Linked DNA regions of Schizosaccharomyces pombe. The gene in region 1 interacts genetically with each later gene. Each region holds a gene or a part of one and is shown in the gene's direction. Other genes may lie near its edges. The genes, in order: uds1 and pdp2.

Region 1 (3,927 bases):
ATTAACCGACTTGGAAACAAATACTGATGGATATGATCCTAAATTTTTGATTTCTGTTAGGAAGTTTTTGATGGGATCTCCCAACTCTGGCTTTGTCGTTAAACATGAGAAACGTCTTCCAGATGGACCGCGTGTTCTGGCCCTTCGAGCCATTTCATCAGTCGATGAAGAAAATAGAAAAGAGCGCCTATCTCCTGATAGTGATCCTGTTGAAACAGAATCTGTTTATGTTGACAATGGAGAATTGTCAAATCAAAAAGTAGAAACAGTTGAAATTTCCGAAAAAGAACAAAATGATGATCCCGCCGGATATTCTCAATACCTTCTAGAGTTCAAGAAGAGTAAATGTCAAAAGAAAGTGCCGACTTTAGAGAGTATTGAGGAAAATGAAGGAACGGAACCTCATGACAACTTGACCTTTATGACTGATTTGGGAACTCCATACTATTCTCTGGGTAATGAATTTGAAAGAAAGCAAATTTTGGATGAATACGGGTTGCTGGCTAATGATGAAAACCTAGTTATTGGACACACGTTAAGAGCGGAGTATTGCTTTATGTTTGATGAAAGCGATATCCTGCAATTACGCAATTATGAACATACAGAAAAGGAACTTAGTGTCCTTCAATTTAAAGGGGTCTCGTCACGTTGGGATTTTCGTTGCTGTAGAGAAGAACGTTTACTCCGATTGCTACTATGTTTCGACAGTGAACATACTGGGCAATCTTTCATTCAACTGAACGATCCTGAAAATGAAAATGAAAAGGAAGAACAAAATTCCATTAGCATTAGGGAATTATCCTACTTCAGCACAAAACTTATTTCATTGATCTTACCCAAAGAAGCACATAAGCAGCGGTATATCATGCTAAGCTCCTTAGCAAAGACAAGGGAAGCTGATTTCTTTTGGTCTGAAGAGGAAAAAACTAATTATACAAACGAGCTTCTCAGCAACCCATGCAAATTCCTTTGTGAACTAGATCATTTCGATTCATTTCCTCATCAACAACAAGATCTACTCTGGAAGTACTTAGCGGAGTTTTCTGCTAGTTTAGAGTTAGACCCCAACCTTGCCCTTTGGAAGAAGCAAGTTATTTTTTCAAAAATCGGTCATCCGAAGTTGCTGGTTATGCCAATATCTAGTTTCCACTGCGTACAACGTTTCCCTGACCTTGTTTGCGTTCAAACTTCAACTGCTGAAACGTTTTTGTCTGTGGATCGTGAATTAACAACTTATGACCTAAACACTATTAAGTTGTTAAACACAGCACCTAGTCGTACAGCTCAAAACTGGCTTTTTATCATGCATCACCTAGAAATTGTAGGCTATTTATTTCCACATTTGGTTCATCTCGATAAACAGTATAGTTTATTAGATTATGCAAAGTCTGTTGAGCACATTCCAGAATTGGGCACTGTACAACGAAAAGGGTTTTTGAACAAAGTCGCATTTGATGATAACGAGGCTTTACTTTACCAAGTTTAAACGTACTGTCACATAATTTTCTATCACATGTTATCGACCATTCAGTGTTGAGGTTCCTAGGAATCTCTTCTAGGATGGTAGTGTACCTTTTAAGCGAAATTTTGTTTCATCTGCACATTCATTATTTACAAACCTATACGAACTTGACAAAAGTTTTTACGAATATACTAAATATTGACTTATTAATACTTGAAAATATTATCACTTTTTTTGAGGTGGTCTAAGTAAAAATGTGTAGGTCGAATTCGTCACATAGGGTAATAAATGTAAGTGTAGGACCGTTAAAGTATGCTCTAAATAATCTTTTAACATATAAAAAGTAATGTGGATTATTTGCAAACACCATAATGAATGTTGATCAAAATACCGGTTCAACGTCGATAAATAACAAACAGCAGAGCCCACCGATACACAAACCTAAAATTGCAAAGGGACTTTAATAGTCGTATAATCTGGAGAATGAAATGCTTAGCGACCGATCATTGCAACGTGATAATAGGTTGGCTTAGGTGCTTTGTTTATTTACATTTCAATGTTAGTTGTCATGGAAACGAAATTCATACAAAATAAAGCGTATGCGGCTGTAAACAAACAAAAGATTCAACATTTACATTTACCCATTTTACCCAAAAATGGGGTTTCATGGATGTTTAAGTACAGATGAATATGAACCTGAGTTAATTGAGAAATATGGGAATCCTGAACCACCTTCTTCAAGCATATTAATTAATACACGACCAGTCAATCCATTTTTATCCACTTTCGTGTATGTAGGAAAGGCTAGCAGTTCTGAAGATGTGTCTATATCTACAGGTGAGGAGGAAATGCGAACCCTTTTAGTTGCGTCTGCTGTTAAAGATGCAAAAGGTTGGGTGTACCTTTCCGGAAAAGACGTTGAAGAAATAAAACAGAAAATAAAAAACCTGCAGGGATTACTTGGTGTTTCTATAAAAAAACTGGCTGTCGAAGCCAAAATTAGAGAAGCTGCTAAGAATTTGATGGTTGCCCAAGCTAAGGAGAAAAAAGGAAAACATAAACAAAGTACGATAGAGCATTACGAACAATGTTCTCGTAGAGTTAGAGAACTTTCTTCTAAGATATGGCTTATTGAAAGGAAACTTGCAGAATTTTATATGCACCTATTGAAGCATATGGTTGCTGTGTGCATTGCTGAGCTTAAACCAGGTAGCTGTAGCAAGGTATCTTCACCGGTTTCTGCCATCACCGCTGATGAGAGCGCAACTGGATTTCGAGATGAAGAAATAATGAACAATGAGGAAATTGAGCAGCTTGTAGAGCGTATGAGCCGTATACTGGAAATTGCTCAATCAATGGGTAATTCAATTCGTGAACCATCTGTCCTAGATGCAGTACAAATGAACGCTGGTGAACGGCTACTCGAGCAAGTTCGTCACTTAGAGCTTATTTTGAAACAAATATACGAGAAAAAGTTGGAGGAAGATGCTGATGCGAAAGATATTGCTCCTCGCGCTATTGTGAACTTTTGGCGGTTACTTACTGAGCTGTTTCGCGGCGACAATGATACGCCAGAGAAGAGTAATGCACTTCCTGATGATGAACTCGATAAACATTTGAAATCTGATTTTGACATTGAATCATTTTGCTTTCTTCTGCACCATCTATTGTCATTATACCAAACACAAAAGAAAGAGCTTGCTTCAAGCAATGAACTTCTAGCAAGTGTCCGAGATGAAAATACGAAAAAGCTTAAGGAGCTTCAAGATATCATTGAAGAGCAGAGTAAACATATGGCTCGCCTTCATAGGGAAGGGTTTTCTGAGGCCGCTGAAAATAACGATAAACCTAAAGAAACAATGCCTTGTACGTATGATTCATCTCTAGCAGATGACCATTCGGATACCTCCAACCTGAGTAAAGATAAGGCGAATACACTTTGTGCCCAGTGTTCAGTATATCTTTCTGAAAAGTATCAGCAACAGCAGTCCTTGTTGCAATTGGAGTCTAATATCCAGCAATTGGAAAATGAGAAAAAAGCTGCCAAGCTTATAGAAAAGGATCTGTTGTCTCAGATTTCTCATGTCAAACTGCAATTTGAGCAACAAATAAAGGCACATCATTATGCGAAAGACCAGGTTAGAAATTTGAACGACGAGATGGTTGCCTTACGTGCTGAGCTTGAAGTTGTAAAGGCTATGAATTCCCAGCCTGATGATCCCGATTCCGATTATGCAATAAAGCAGAACAATGCATTGCAGAACAGATTAGAGGCTTTGACAAGAGAAAATGAGTTATTACAATCTCGCGTTACAACTTTGGAAATGGAAAAAGAAGTTCAGGAGAAGAACTCTGCTACTGTAAGCAACCTTACGCTAAAGCAATTGCAAATGGAGAATATATTTGCAAGCCTCAATTTGGAGAATTCATTTGATTTTGGTATGCCATTAATGGGACCATACACT
Region 2 (3,927 bases), 2.5 Mb from region 1:
GAATTGTCCTATGAAAGAGTTATGGATATTTACGAGATGGAAACCGCATCTGGCATTGTAGTAAGTGTTGGTGGTCAACTTCCTCAAAATATCGCCTTGAAGTTACAAGAGACTGGTGCTAAGGTATTGGGTACTGATCCTTTGATGATTGATTCAGCTGAAGACCGTCATAAATTTTCTCAGATTTTAGACAAAATTGGTGTTGACCAACCTGCTTGGAAAGAGCTTACGTCTGTAGCCGAGGCAAGCAAATTTGCAAATGCAGTTGGTTATCCTGTTTTAGTACGTCCTTCCTATGTTTTATCTGGTGCTGCCATGAGTGTTATTCGCGATGAATCTAGTCTAAAGGATAAGTTAGAAAATGCTTCAGCTGTTTCTCCTGATCATCCAGTTGTCATTACCAAGTTTATCGAGGGTGCTCGGGAACTCGATGTTGATGCTGTTGCTTCCAAGGGTAAACTTTTAGTTCATGCCGTTTCGGAACATGTTGAAAACGCAGGTGTTCACTCTGGTGATGCTACTATCGCCCTTCCTCCTTACTCACTTAGCGAAGATATTTTAAGCCGATGTAAAGAAATAGCCGAGAAAGTATGCAAAGCTTTCCAAATTACTGGTCCTTACAACATGCAAATTATCTTGGCCCAAAACCCTGATAAACCTGATACTCCTGACTTGAAGGTTATTGAATGTAACCTTCGTGCTTCTCGTTCATTCCCTTTTGTTTCCAAGACTCTTGGCGTTAACTTCATTGACGTTGCTACTCGTTCTATTATTGATCAAGAAGTACCAGCTGCTCGTGATTTGATGGCTGTGCATCGTGATTATGTTTGCGTTAAAGTTCCCCAGTTCTCCTGGACACGTTTGGCCGGTGCTGACCCTTACCTTGGTGTTGAAATGAGCTCCACTGGTGAAGTTGCTTGTTTCGGTAAGGATGTAAAGGAAGCCTATTGGGCTGCACTTCAGTCTACTCAAAACTTTAAGATTCCTCTTCCAGGTCAAGGTATACTTTTAGGTGGTGATCGACCTGAACTTGCTGGTATTGCTGCTGACCTTTCCAAGCTTGGATATAAACTTTACGTTGCTAATAAAGATGCTGCTAAATTATTACAGCCTACCTCTGCTGAAGTCGTTGAGTTCCCTGTTAAGGACAAGCGTGCTTTACGTGCTATATTTGAAAAATACAATATTCGCTCGGTTTTCAACTTGGCTTCTGCTCGCGGCAAGAACGTTTTGGATCAAGACTATGTGATGCGCAGAAATGCTGTTGACTTCAACGTCACTCTTATTAATGATGTTAACTGCGCCAAATTGTTTGTTGAGTCCTTGAAGGAGAAGCTCCCTTCCGTTTTATCTGAGAAGAAGGAAATGCCATCAGAAGTCAAGAGATGGAGTGAATGGATCGGATCTCATGATCTTTAGTTTGCCGCCTAAAGTGTCTAATATATGAGTTCATGCGATTTGACTGTTAATATTCCTTTTTGATTGAATCACTGTTGGTGGTTTCTGCTTAATTTATAGTCTGTTCGTTTCATTTTGCTAATTTCTTGGATGAATTAGCGGTTGTATTTTGGGTTTGTTTTTGTGTTCTCGTTTTGCCGATAAACGTTCTCCTTTAGATTTTTCACATAAACATTAAATCAATTGAATTATTGTTTCCTTTTACTTTAGAAACTTTCTTAAAAAAAAATAATACAAGTCCATTTCCAAATGTTAATATCTTAATTTGTTTTGTTCTTTAATAGTAATGGGCATTTATATGGGCCTAATATTTATAAAAGCCTTTAGAATTCTTTAAACATCCGCTACTACATGTTTGTTAGTATCTCCAACTATTATAACTTTTACTGATCAATAGCGTAAAACTCAATGGCGTTAGCATCCTTACTTCCTCGCTTAATTTTATTTAGAATAAACCTTCGGTTAATGAAATGATACGGTGAGAACTACGTGCTCATTATGTCTACCATCTCACATTAATGCTTCTTCCCTTTACCTTTTACAGGACGTTTTGGGTAATACGGTGTTTTGTAAAATGACTGAAATAAAGGATTCAAGCGTAAAGGATGAAAATCCTGGAAAACAAGAAGAGTCTTCTATTGCAGTTGAATCACGAGAAATGTCAACGGCAACTAACAATTCGAAAAATATCGAAACCACCAGTTCGAATGGAGCAGAAGATATTAAAATCCAAAGGGATGTAGGTGATGATAAGGATTTGGACGATAAGGAAGCAAATGACAAAAGTTCAAAAGGTTTGGAAGAGGAATCTGATTCCAAAGATAGGAAAACTATAGAAACGGATCAGCCTTCCAATAATATTGGCGATATAAAAAGTCAAAAATCTGAGAAGTCTAACGGCAATGCGAGAAAAGAAACCAAACAATCTGAACGCGTCAATTATAAGCCTGGAATGCGCGTTTTAACAAAAATGTCGGGATTCCCATGGTGGCCTAGTATGGTCGTTACAGAGAGCAAAATGACCAGCGTCGCGAGAAAGTCTAAACCAAAGCGTGCAGGAACATTTTATCCCGTAATTTTCTTTCCCAACAAGGAATACCTATGGACAGGATCTGATTCTCTTACTCCTTTAACTTCAGAGGCCATATCACAATTCTTGGAAAAACCCAAGCCAAAAACTGCTAGTTTGATTAAAGCTTATAAAATGGCTCAAAGTACACCAGATCTGGACTCGTTGTCCGTTCCTTCTTCCGAATCAGAAGTTTCTGAAGAAGAATCTGACCAAGAAATGTCGGAACCATCTCCAATAGAAGAAGATTATAATGATACGAAAGCTAGACGCATTACTAGGAAAGGTACAAAGAAAAAAACCGTAACATTTGACCCTTCACTTGAATCCGTACCACAAAAACGCCTCAATGCATCCTCAAACGTTAGTTCGAACCCTGCAAAAAAAACTCGTGTTTCTCCTCGGCGTAGTACTGCTGCTTCTAAAAAGAAAAGCCCTTCATCTAAAAGAGCATCCTCCGACGAGATAGAAAAGGATAAAGAAGAAGAAGAGGGCTCTGTCGCTAATGAAGAAGACGTTGCAAAGAGAACTTTTCACTCACGAGAGCAATCTTTGTTGTTTCTTCGACACAAATTACAAAGCAGCCTGTTATCACCAAAACAGGACCTTAGTCAAGTCGACTATAAATTAGTTCATAATTATCTAGACAAGCTCGCAAACTTCCAAGGTATTGATGTTCCATTAATCCAGAAAACTAAAATTGCTGTTGTCGTGAGGAAGATTTTTTCCTTAGCTGGACTTCCAAAAGAAAATGAGGACGAAGTCAAAAGCATATGTGGAGATATTTTGGAGAACAGATGGAAATCTTTGCTGCAGGAGATTTCATCTCAAAAACAACTGTCAACCGATGCTTCACAAACACAGGATGCATCAATAGCAAATGAAAATGAAACCGAGATAGCTTCTCTTGATGAAGGCTCTGAATCAAAACCAACGCCGTCTCCACCAGCTGAACAGCTCACGGATCAAAAGCAGAATGAAGACAACGAGGATAAAGTTAAAGCTGATTCCAACGGACCAACACAAAACGAGAACGAAACAGCTGATGCTTCAAAAGACATGATAAGTGAAGAGAAAAGTAGCAAGGATGCCGATAATTCTTTAGAAGTTGCTGGTAAAGATTTTGCTGAAGATGGTACCGAACAAACTCCAAATCTAGCTGAACCTGAGGATGGCGTAGCAGCAGTAGATTTGTCAACTGGTCAAAAATAGTGAAAATGTTTTGCGTTAAGAACTAAAACAAACAAATAAACCTTTATTTTTTGGAAGTTGTGTTTAACAATACCACAAAAAACTCAATTCAACTTATACCTTAGACTGTCTTTTTTTTTTGTGATAGTCTTACAACATGCCAATTGCCCTTATTATTCTAGCCTTCAGTTTGCTTTAAATGATTGCTA

The links.
Region 2: mutations in uds1 (region 1) and pdp2 together harm fitness less than expected from each alone (positive genetic interaction), as found in Schizosaccharomyces pombe (one large-scale study listed by BioGRID).

The regions. Positions count from the first base shown.
Region 1 is NC_003423.3:1,564,285-1,568,211, forward strand, and holds the start of uds1 (septation protein Uds1), read left to right. Parts: upstream 1-2,080; 5' UTR 2,081-2,118; coding exon 2,119-3,927. Other genes in the region: protein meu25, read left to right, coding at 1-1,486.
Region 2 is NC_003423.3:4,039,228-4,043,154, reverse strand, and holds the start of pdp2 (PWWP domain containing protein), read left to right. Parts: upstream 1-1,985; 5' UTR 1,986-2,032; coding exon 2,033-3,739; 3' UTR 3,740-3,927. Other genes in the region: arginine specific carbamoyl-phosphate synthase Arg4, read left to right, coding at 1-1,419.